Linked DNA regions of Macaca mulatta. The protein of the gene in region 2 interacts with the protein of the main gene of each other region in a biochemical or structural test. Links are inferred from orthologs where the notes say so. Each region holds a gene or a part of one and is shown on either strand. Other genes may lie near its edges.

Evidence for each region. The genes of interacting proteins can lie anywhere in the genome.
Region 1: of the proteins of DYRK1B (region 2) and HNF1A, one has a biochemical effect on the other in vitro, tested with the Homo sapiens proteins (2 studies listed by IntAct, with this or other methods). The link is inferred for Macaca mulatta from reciprocal best matches to the Homo sapiens genes DYRK1B and HNF1A.

What each region holds. Positions count from the first base shown.
Region 1 is NC_133416.1:128,328,073-128,333,800, reverse strand, and holds the end of HNF1A (hepatocyte nuclear factor 1-alpha), read right to left. Parts: intron 5,669-5,728; coding exon 5,477-5,668; intron 3,878-5,476; coding exon 3,756-3,877; coding exon of another isoform or gene 3,663-3,755; coding exon 3,465-3,662; intron 2,093-3,464; coding exon 1,871-2,092; 3' UTR 628-1,870; downstream 1-627. UniProt on the Homo sapiens protein: Transcriptional activator that regulates the tissue specific expression of multiple genes, especially in pancreatic islet cells and in liver. Binds to the inverted palindrome 5'-GTTAATNATTAAC-3'.
Region 2 is NC_133424.1:50,953,919-50,959,298, reverse strand, and holds the end of DYRK1B (dual specificity tyrosine-phosphorylation-regulated kinase 1B), read left to right. Parts: intron 1-910; coding exon 911-1,197; intron 1,198-1,838; coding exon 1,839-1,985; intron 1,986-2,069; coding exon 2,070-2,210; intron 2,211-2,507; coding exon of another isoform or gene 2,508-2,627; coding exon 2,628-2,823; intron 2,824-3,221; coding exon 3,222-3,328; intron 3,329-3,421; coding exon 3,422-3,793; 3' UTR 3,794-4,147; downstream 4,148-5,380.

The DNA.
Region 1 (5,728 bases), on a different chromosome or scaffold from region 2:
AGGCTGAGGCGGGAGAATCACTTGAACCCAGGAGGTAGAGGTTGCAGTGAGCCGAGATTGCGCCACTGCACTCCAGCCTAGGCAACAGAGTGAGACTCTATCTCAACAACAACAAAAAAAAGTAGAAGCTCGTGGCCAGGCACGGTGGCTCATACCTGTAATCCCAGCACTTTGGGAGGCCGAGGCAGGTGGATCACTTGAGCCGAGTTCCAGACCAGCCTGGGCAACATGGTGAAACCTCGTCTCTATAAAAAAAAAAAAAATACAAAAATTAGTTGGGCGTGGTAGTGAGCGCCTGTGGTCCCAGCTGCTTGTGAGGCTGAGGTGGGAGGATCCCTTGAGCCCAGGGGGTCAAGGCTGCAGTGAGCCATATAATGCCACTGCAGTCCAGCCTGGGTGACAGTGAGACCCTGTCTCCAAAACGAAATTGTTTTTTAAAGTAGAAGCTTGAGGTTAAGATGAAATCTGGCTTCGTCATTCGAGTCTCAGCAGAGCCAGAAAAGCAGAGACGTGGGGTGTGAGAGCGTGAGTGCGGGAGCCCCTCTCCTCTTCGCAGACCCCGGGCCTGCCCCAGCCTCCCTCTGCCGGCCCAAACCCCGTCTGAATGATTTGTGGACAAGCAAGAAATTACCACCGCATTTCTCCTTGACTTTACTAAAAGTTAAATAAACGTGCCGCTCACCCGAGCTGGCTACAAGCTGCAGGGGTGCTGGGTCACCCCAGGCCTTTTCCTGAATCCCAGGGTGGAGGCGGTGCACTGAGGGCCAGGTGCTCAGCAGCAGGCCCAGGGATGTGGGACCACGCTTGCCCTGGGTTCACAGGCTCCTTTGTCCCTCCTGGCAGTGCTCAGGACCTCGGACTCCTCAGGGTGGCTACGAACTGCCCTCAGCCAGCCAGACCCCCAGGATTCGATTAGTCCTGTCCACAGAGGTAGCTCCTGTGCCCTGGGGTCACCTCTTTCTTCTGGGCACCTCAGCTTGGCCAGCCGCTTGGGCCTTGCTCAGCTGCTCGGGCCTTGCTGCCTTCTGAGCTCAGCTACTCCTGCCCCAAATAAGGGCAGGGTCTGCAGGGCCCTCGAGACAGGAGCTGCCCCACCAGGACCTAGACTTGGCATGGGTTGCGAGGCTCCCACAGGAATAAGGACAACTTCCCAACCCTGAAGCAGCCTTCCCGGTAGAGGCAGGAGGCCAGGCTGGCCTCAGAGGCGTGATGCTCTTGGGAACAAATACCCGGGAAAGCTGGAGGTCACGGGGCCTGGGAGAGGGAATCGCTGGGGACAGGGGAAGCCAGGAGAGCCCCGCCTGCCTTCCCTGTTAGCTTCGGCCTCCCTGGGCTCGGGCATTGGAGCCCCAAGCTCTGGCACAGAGTAGCCCCCCAGGAAATGCCTGTGTGAGTAGGTGATCGGGTCAGTACAAGTGGCATGTGGGTCACTAGCTGGAAGGAGTTGGGGCAGGATGGAGTGGCCCAGTGGGTGCATTGGTGACCGAACAAGGCCACGCTGATCCAGGGCCTCTCAGAGCTCAGCAGGTCACAGCTACACAGGCTTGTTTCCTGAGAAGTGTGGCTGCCAGTGTGGTGTAGCGGTCCCGGGGCTCTCCACAGGCCCAGGCTGGGGGTGCCCAAGTCATAGGCCGCCCCCTTCTGTTCCAAGTAAGCAGATTGTGTCCCACACAGCAGGGACAGTCCCTCCTCCATCTGCCAGGAACAGGCTTTGCTCCTAGCTCTCCATGGCCCCCTCTTGTGCAACCCAAGCAGCCCTCCATGGGTTGGGGCGCCTCAGAGCCCTCTGTTTCTGATGCATCAGAGCAGAGTGGGGAGCGAGGCACAGCTGTCCAGGAAGGGCCACAGGAGCTCAGCAGGCTCAGGTCCTTCAGGCAGGGCTGGCTGCTGCCCTCATCACCCCCCAGGCAGGCAGTACAGGCCCCAGGGCCCAGGTGCCGTGGTTACTGGGAGGAAGAGGCCATCTGCGTGGAGATGAAGGTCTCAATGACGCTGTGGTTGGACGGCAGCAGGTGGCTGTGGCCGTTGCTGGAGTCTGAGCTCTGGTACAGCACCAGGCTGCTGGAGGACACTGCGGAGGCAAACGAGGCTGCTGACCACCCACCAGGCACCCACACCCACCCCACCTGCCCGTCCCGAGGGGTACTTGGGATGAGGAGGCAGAGCCACACCTCCTGGATCACAGCAGATAACAGGAACCCCAAAGTCACACCTCTACCCTCGGTTCTTAACAAGGGGAGCCTGCCAGCCAGGGTCCGGGGCCGCCCAGGGAGTGGCCTCAGTACATCTTAGTGGGAACACTGGAGAAGCCCCGGTGAGATGCCGGGGTACGTAGTTGTACGTGTTGGTTTGGCTAGGCTGAGCCAAACGCTAATCTAGGCGCTGCTGTGAATGCAGGTGCTCTGTAGATGTGGTTAATGCCACAATCAGTTGACTTTGAGTGAAGGAGGTTACCCTGAAAATATGGGTGGGCCTTCTCCATCAGTGGAAGGCCGTAAGAGCAAAAACCAGTTTCCCAGAGAAGAAGGAATTCTGCCTCAAGGCTGCAGAATTCACTCCCCGGAGTTGCCAGCAACAGATTTCAGGCCTGCCAGCCCCTGCAGACACGCGCCAAGTCCTTCAGGTAAATGCATCGGTTCTGTGTTCCTGGAGAACCCTGACTGATGGCCATGGTTAAGAGAATGGGCTTTGAGGTTGGACCTGGGTTCGAGTCCTGGCCCTGCCATCTGGTAGCTGTGGGAGATGAGGCAAGTCCCTCCCCTCCTTAAGTGTCCACTTTCTCATCCGTAAAATGGGGGTGATCATGCAGATGCCTCACGGGGTGAATGCCAGGACATAGAATGGCCTCGGTGGCTGTCACGACAGCTGCCAGGGCCGGGTCCAGGAACCTTATAGAAAGGGGGCAGCTTGCAAAAAGACAGGCTGCAAAGCCCAGCCACCTGACTCCAAAGTGCCCACTCCTGATAATGACATCATAGATTACAAACTCAGGTGACCACCCCACCGCCAGGGGTCATTGGAGCCAATGTGAGTGGATGCAGTGAGGCCTGGTGAGCTGTTATATGGGAGTATGAATTTTTCCAATTTCCCAAAAGATGCCAGAAATCCAGATTTCTATGTGAAAATTCCTGATTTTGAAATGTTAGCAACAAATTCAAAGAATGTTCAACCCTGAGCCAAGCCAAACCAGACACGCGCAAGAGTTGCTTCTGGCTCACAGACCTGCTCCTTATCATGACTTCATCTTTTTCCTCAATCCAGCCCCTGAGATGTTCTTGCAAGGTGAACCCTGTCTTCCTGGGGTCACCTGTGCCTCTTGGGCTTCATGGGCACACAGGCCATGTCTGGGAGGCGGGGAACCCCACCCAACCCCCCATGCCTGCCAGTGCTTCCCCACATGGCCTAGGCCTGCTGCATGCACAGCCCCACAGTGACAGGACAGCAACAAAAGGGGTGGGACCAACATGGGGAAGGGGTCGGAGATAGTAAGGGAGGGGGTGGAGCCAGGGCCTCTCACCCGTGGGGCTGGCGCTGAGCCGGTGGGCTGGCTGCAGGTGCTGGATGCCTGCTGGGTCCTGGCTGGGGACGTGGAGGGTGGTGGCCTGAGAGGCCGGTGTGTGAAGCCCGGACTCACTGGAGGCCTCAGTGTCTGAGGTGAAGACCTGGGGGAGCAGAGCAGCCTCCTGAGTCCCGGGGATGTGGGGGTGAGGGGCTCTGTCACAGGCCAAGGGAGGGCCAGCAGGCCTGGACCTTACCTGCTTGGTGGGCGTGAGGCTGGCCAGGGCGCTCAGGTTGGTGGTGTCAGTGATGAGCATAGTCTGCGGGAGCAGGCCCGTGTGGGTGTACTGGGCCACCTCGGGCTTGTGGCTGTAGAGGGCTGGCCGCAGGGGAGAGAGGGGCAGACGTGGCAGACGTGCCTGACAGCCCCCGTCCCAGGCCTCAGGACCGGGGAAAGGGGGCCATGGAGCCTGCTGAACAACCAGACTGGGCAGCAATTGGAGATCCAGGACTGATTTTCAAAACTGGGGGCTCCAGATAGAGGGACAGACCCTTTCCCCATCACAGGGAACTGCTCAGCTGGGATTGATGCAGGGGAGCCTGGAGGAGGCCAGAAACCAACTCCAGCTTGTGTCACCTGGAGACAGCAGGTATGAAAGGGAACGGGAGGCGTGGGTGCAGGGCTACTGTACTAAGCACAGGTGCTACGTACTAAGCGCAGGTGCTACTGTACTAAATGCAGGTGCTATGTACTAAGCACAAGTGCCATGTACTAAGCACAGGTGCTACTGTACTAAACTCGGGTGCCGTGTACTAAGTTCAGGTGGCCCCTGTCAAAGAGCAAGGCAGAGGACAGCAGTACCTCCATCTCCAGGCCACCTCTCCAAATAAAACCCCATGTTTTGCCTACGGCACCTCCCCCCACCCTGCAGGAGACACACAGACCCCACAAGAGACACACAGACGCTAGGAAAACTCACATAAACCACATATTCTCACAGTGACTCAGACAAAAACGTAACACACACACATACATTCTCAACCACGTACACACAGAGACATATACAGACCCAAAATCTCTTAACCCAGTCCCAAATTCCAAAAAAGTCTGAAACCAAAAGATTTCCTTAAGATTGGCACTAGAGCTCATTTGGTGGCAAAACCCAGCCTGAACCTGACATGAGGTTATGAGTGTTTGAACTGCCTTGTGGAAATCTTACTTTGGCTGCAGAAATAGCAGTGCTTTGACCACAGTGGGCTATCTCAAACCCTGCTAGGAGTGTTATGTGATAGCTGGCATATCCACCAAATTACCTTTCTTTCTTTCTTTTTTTTTTTTTTTTTTTTTTTTTTTTTGGCAGAGTCTCACTCTGTTGCCCAGGCTGGAGTGCAGTGGCACAATCTCAGCTCACTGCAACCTCCACCTCCCGGGTTCAAGCGATTCTCCTGCCTCAGCCTCCCAAGTAGCTGGGACTACAGGCACGTGCCTCCATGCCTGGCTAATTTTTGTACTTTTAGTAGAGACGGGGTTTCACCGTGTTGGCCAGGCTGGCCTCGAACTCCTGACCTCAAGTGAGCCGCCCACCTCAGCCTCCCAAAGTGCTGGGATTACAGCTGTGAGCCACCACACCTGGCCCCAGATTACCTTTCTAAAATCTGAATAGATTTTAGAAATTCATATGGCCCTAAGAGTTTCACAGAAACAGAGGCACGCACACACACACAAACCCATGCACAACTGACACACACCTAGACATGCACTAGGGATCTGCTCACACAAGCAGTCATGTGCACACACACAGATATGTGCATTCACATGGGAACACACTGTGGCCTGCAGACACCCTCAATCATGGAAACACACTTGTCCTGGAGACACACTCAGACTGCAACGCCTGCCAGGCACCCCCTTCCCCTGCATCCATTGACAGCCAACCTCTATCATCATCTCCCCCTGTGTGGGGCACAGGGTGCTCACCATGGGGGCTCTGCAGCTGGGCCATGGTGGCCATGAAGGGGCTCTGGGTCACATGGCTCTGCACAGGCGGCATGAGCGGCTGCTGGTAGGAAGGGTGCAGCGGCTGGGAGAACTGGACGGGCTGCAGGGTGGTCAGGCTGCTGCCCATGCTGTTGATGACCGGCACACTCTGTGCCTGCGTGGAGGCCAGGCCTGGAGTGGAAGGGGCGGGAATCAGCTGGGCCCCCCAGTTACATCCCATCACCCCCCAAG
Region 2 (5,380 bases):
ATGGGCTGGGTGCGTGGCTCACGCCTGTAATCCCAGCACTTTGGGAGGCCGAGGTGGGTGGATCATGAGGTCAAGAGATGGAGACCATCCTGGCCAACATGGTGAAACCCTGTCTCTACTAAAAATATGAAAAAATTAGCTTGATGTGGTGGCACGCGCCTGTAGTCCCAGCTACTCGGGAGGCTGAGGCAGGAGAATCGCTTGAACCTTAGAGGCGGAGGTTGCAATGAGCCAAGACCATGCCACTGCACTCCAGCCTGGTGACAGAGCGAGACTCTATCTTAAAAAACAAACAAACAACCAAACAATAATAACAACAAAAACGAAGAAAGGAAAAAAGAAACCCAGGGATTCAAGTGCTGTCACTTGCATGAGGGGGCAGTTTGTACTAATTGAGCTATAATTTGATGAGGCCGTGGACTCCAGAGCTGTTACTCTTAACATCTGTGCCAGTCTTTCTCCTCCCTTAAACTGATTCCTCTTAATGGACATAAACATCACAACATAATCATAAACAGCAAGTGGATTTTAAAATGGTTTCGTTTGAAAGGAAAATGTACATCCTTAAAGTAGATGGAAAACTAGTGTCCTTTGCCACAAAAATGAATACAAGGGAGATGAAAGCAGTGTTACGAAATTAAAGGAGGAAGTGTAGAATGTGTTAGAGCTAGTAGTAACTAATGAAACTTTCTCGTTTGTTTAATTGGAGGGTTTGACAGAGACTTGGAAAGAGCGTTAACTTCCTGTGTGAACCTAGTTGTTTGTTAGATAAAAAGATCTTGACTAGCAGATGGTACCCGTGGGCACAGCACATGTGGCTAGTGATCAAAGAGTGTTGTATGACCCCAGGCCACCACCTGCCCTCTCTGAGCCATTTTTTCTCTGGCCCATTTTCTCCCCTCCCTCGCAGTGCACCTGAAGCGGCACTTCATGTTCCGGAACCACCTGTGCCTGGTGTTCGAGCTGCTGTCCTACAACCTGTATGACCTCCTGCGCAACACCCACTTCCGCGGCGTCTCGCTGAACCTGACCCGGAAGCTGGCGCAGCAGCTCTGCACGGCACTGCTCTTTCTGGCCACGCCTGAGCTCAGCATCATTCACTGCGACCTCAAGCCCGAAAACATCTTGCTCTGCAACCCCAAGCGCAGCGCCATCAAGATCGTGGACTTCGGCAGTTCCTGCCAGCTTGGCCAGAGGGTACGGGGCAGCCCGGTCCTGGGAGCAGGGCTAGTGGTTTGGGTGAGGCAGGGCCAACAGGAGGCTTAGGGGCGGGGCTTGGCTGGGATGGGATTATTAGGAACTGCTGGAAGTGAAGGATAGTGCTTGGGGTGGGGGTGTGGATGTACTGCCCACTAGGATGGGGAGGGTGAAGCCTGAGGGGGCAGGGCTCGTTTTGAAGCTGCCAGATGTGAACAGGGTAAAGTTGGGTTGGGTTTGAGCCCTGGGTGCTGCTTTACTAAGTTTTTGTGTTCTGTGTTCTTAAAGCCGGGGATGGAGGTGGAAGGCTTCAACTTTGCAACTCTGTGTGAGCTGCCACTAAAAATGACAATAGTATAGGGCTGGTGGAATGTCAGCCTCTGCCTGGTGACCCAGAAAGGCCCAGGATCGGGGTTGGGGGTGGAGATCAGGGTCTCTTTAGGCCAGCAGGCTCCCCAGATTGATAAACAAGATGGCACCAGTGGCTCCCAGAAAACTGGTGCTGATAATGGCAGGATTTGGAGCCTCAGTCCCCATTTTGTCAGCAAGAGGCTTGTCCTTAGTTGGGTCCTCTTAGCTTTGGGGGTGTCAGTGGGACCAGTAGAGGAGGCTGGGACCCTTGACGATGACCCTTTTCCCAGATCTACCAGTATATCCAGAGCCGCTTCTACCGCTCGCCTGAGGTGCTCCTGGGCACACCCTACGACCTGGCCATTGACATGTGGTCCCTGGGCTGCATCCTTGTGGAGATGCACACCGGAGAGCCCCTCTTCAGTGGCTCCAATGAGGTGTGCCCCCAGGAAGGGGTGTGCTGGAGGTGGAGGGGGTGGAGCCTGGCTGGCCTGATGACCCTGACTCCCGCCTGCTCACAGGTGGACCAGATGAACCGCATTGTGGAGGTGCTGGGCATCCCGCCGGCTGCCATGCTGGACCAGGCGCCCAAGGCTCGCAAGTACTTTGAACGGCTGCCTGGGGGTGGCTGGACCCTACGAAGGACAAAAGAACTCAGGAAGGTGCGGCCCCTGCCCCACGCCACTCCTCCCACCCCGTGGCCCCTCACTCACACTTGGGGCTCTCTCCCCCTGCTCCCTCTCCCTTGTGTCTTTCCCTTCCTTCCTGTCCCCCTTGTCTGTCTTTTCCTTCCTTCCCTGCCCACCCCATCTCCCATCTCTCCTTCCCACCCCACAACTCTTCTTAGCTTTTCTTTCCACTTTCTCTCCTGTGCCTCTGTTTCCCCATGTGTGTCTCCCTGCCCCTCCTGCCCACTGACGGCCACTCTCTTGCCCCCCCTCCCACCCCCTCCCTGCCAGGATTACCAGGGCCCCGGGACACGGCGGCTGCAGGAGGTGCTGGGCGTGCAGACGGGCGGGCCCGGGGGCCGGCGGGCGGGGGAGCCGGGCCACAGCCCCGCCGACTACCTCCGCTTCCAGGACCTGGTGCTGCGCATGCTGGAGTATGAGCCCGCCGCCCGCATCAGCCCCCTGGGGGCTCTGCAGCACGGCTTCTTCCGCCGCACGGCCGACGAGGCCACCAACACGGGCCCGGCAGGCAGCAGTGCCTCCACCTCGCCCGCGCCTCTCGACACCTGCCCCTCTTCCAGCACCGCCAGCTCCATTTCCAGTTCTGGTGGGTGCCCACGTGCCCAAATGGGGTACAACAGGGGTGGGGGCTGCTCAGGTTTGGCCTGTCCTAGGGGACCTTGTTACTGGGTCTTCACACAAGAGCTCTGAAACTGTTTGATCCTGAACTCTAAGATGATGTGTGGGATGGGAGAGCTCCAGCTGGCCCTGACACAATCTCTGAAATTGGACTTGGGCTCAGATCCCTGAAACTGGTTCTGACTCTAAAACCCAAAACTGAATTCCAATCTAAAATCTCAAAATTGGGCCTGGTTCTTCAGATGGGCTCTGATCTTGAAGCCTGAACCTGAGCCTGGGCCATGAACTTCACTCAGCCATCCCAAAACCCACTTGCCACCTTCTCTCACCTTATGCCCCTTCACCTCTCCTCCCTGGCACTTCCAGGAGGCTCCAGTGGCTCCTCCAGTGACAACCGGACCTATCGCTACAGCAACCGATATTGTGGGGGCCCTGGGCCCCCTATCACAGACTGTGAGATGAACAGCCCCCAGGTAATGAAGCTTTGGGGGCTTTGGAGGTGGGTGGTGGTGCCTGGGGCTTAAGGACTGGGGTCTCCATCATCCATTGCTCCTTTGCTTTTTTAGGTCCCACCCTCCCAGCCACTGCGGCCCTGGGCAGGGGGTGATGTGCCCCACAAGACACATCAAGCCCCGGCCTCTGCCTCATCACTGCCTGGGACCGGGGCCCAGTTACCCCCCCAGCCCCGATACCTTGGTCGTCCCCCATCACCAACCTCACCACCGCCTCCGGAGCTGATGGATGTGAGCCTGGTGGGCGGGCCTGCTGACTGCTCCCCACCTCACCCAGCGCCTGCCCCCCAGCACCCGGCTGCCTCAGCCCTCCGGACTCGGATGACGGGAGGTCGTCCACCCCTCCCGCCTCCTGATGACCCTGCCACTCTGGGGCCTCACCTGGGCCTCCGTGGTGTACCCCAGAGCACGGCAGCCAGCTCATGACCCTGCCCCCTCCCTGGGGCCCCTCCTGAAGCCATACCCCCCCCATCTGGGGGCCCTGGGCTCCCATCCTCATCTCTCTCCTTGACTGGAATTGCTGCTACCCAGCTGGGGTGGGTGAGGCCTGCACTGATTGGGGCCTGGGGCAGGGGGGTCAAGGAGAGGGGTTTGGCCGCTCCCTCCCCACTAAAGACTGGACCCTTGGGCCCCTCTCCCCCTTTTTTTCTATTTATTGTACCAAAGACAGTGGTGGTCCGGTGGAGGGAAGACCCCCCTCACCCCAGGAACCTAGGAGGGGGTGGGGGCAGGTAGGGGGAGATGGCCTTGCTCCTCCTCGCTGTACCCCCAGTAAAGAGCTTTCTCACATGCCTGCCTGAGCGTTTGCAGGGCTTCGGCTCCCCTCACCTGACCCTCAGAGGCGTGGTGGGGAAGGGGGTTTGCGGAGGGGGTGCTGGAGGAGCTCTGTGGTGTGGAGACGTCTCTTGTGGGGAAGTTGTGGCTCTTGTTGCAGGCATGGGGCTGCAGGTCTGGGGCACCAGCTTTCTAGAGAGATCGTGGATGGGATCCTGATCGTGGATGGGATCCTGGCCTACATTTGCCTTTTCTTGGGTAAACAGACTGAAAGGGTAAAGGCTCAGCTCTGGCCTGTCTCTGGGAAACAGGTGCCCTAATAAGCCGGGGCGTCCGCAGAGCCAGCACAGGAGTGGCTCCTCAGGCCAAGCAGGCGTCCAGTAGCCGCTGAGTGCACTTAGCAGGCTTTGTTGGCGCCAACTGGGGAATAGGCAGACAATAGGTACAGACTCTGCCCCCACATGTGTACTATCCAACCCTTTGGAATCATCGCGAAACAAAGTGTTTTGAGATTCTAAGGAAAAAAGATTTTCCCGGGGTTCCAGGTAAGTGGTCCTGTTTCCATGGTAATTTGGAAATGTACGTCTCCCAACCGGCCAATCAAGAACTGCCCAGTTCAAAGGGTACCGTCTCCCACCACTGGGGCGCGGCGCTTTCTGGGAAATGGAGTTCTACTTAGTCGCTTTCTGCGGTGTCGGGGAACTACGGCAACCAGAGTTCTTTTCGCTCAGGCTTGGGGGCGGGTTTTCAGGCAGCCAATGAGCAGTCTGAGGTATCCGGGTCCTGGATGTTCGTGGTGGTTAGGAGGTGGAGAGAAGACCGTGATTGGGTGGCTTTGGCGCAGGTGATGAGGTCTTCGAGGTGTGCGGAAGGTGGGCGCGGCGCCGTGCCGGGAGAGCGTGCCGGTTGTCGCTCACAGTTCCGGAGTGGGCGGTAGACTCCGAGGCCTGAAGGGGCCCCAGCACGGGGACATTACTGGCTGCTGTGCCTGGCCCGGCTTGCGGGAAGCCCCGCTCAGCGGGAGAGACAGGCAAGGACCCCGTCGTGGACCTATGTATGTTCACTAATGGAGGCGGCGTGGAACGCGGTGGGAACCCGAGGAGGCCCTGGTAGGAAGATCATCCCGGAAGACTAGGAGCTGTCTGAGCTGAGACCTGAAGACGGAAGGATGTTTTGGGGGGTCGGGGGCGGTGTGGTGGAATGGCTTGAGCAAAGGCAGAAACAGCTTGATGTGTGAAC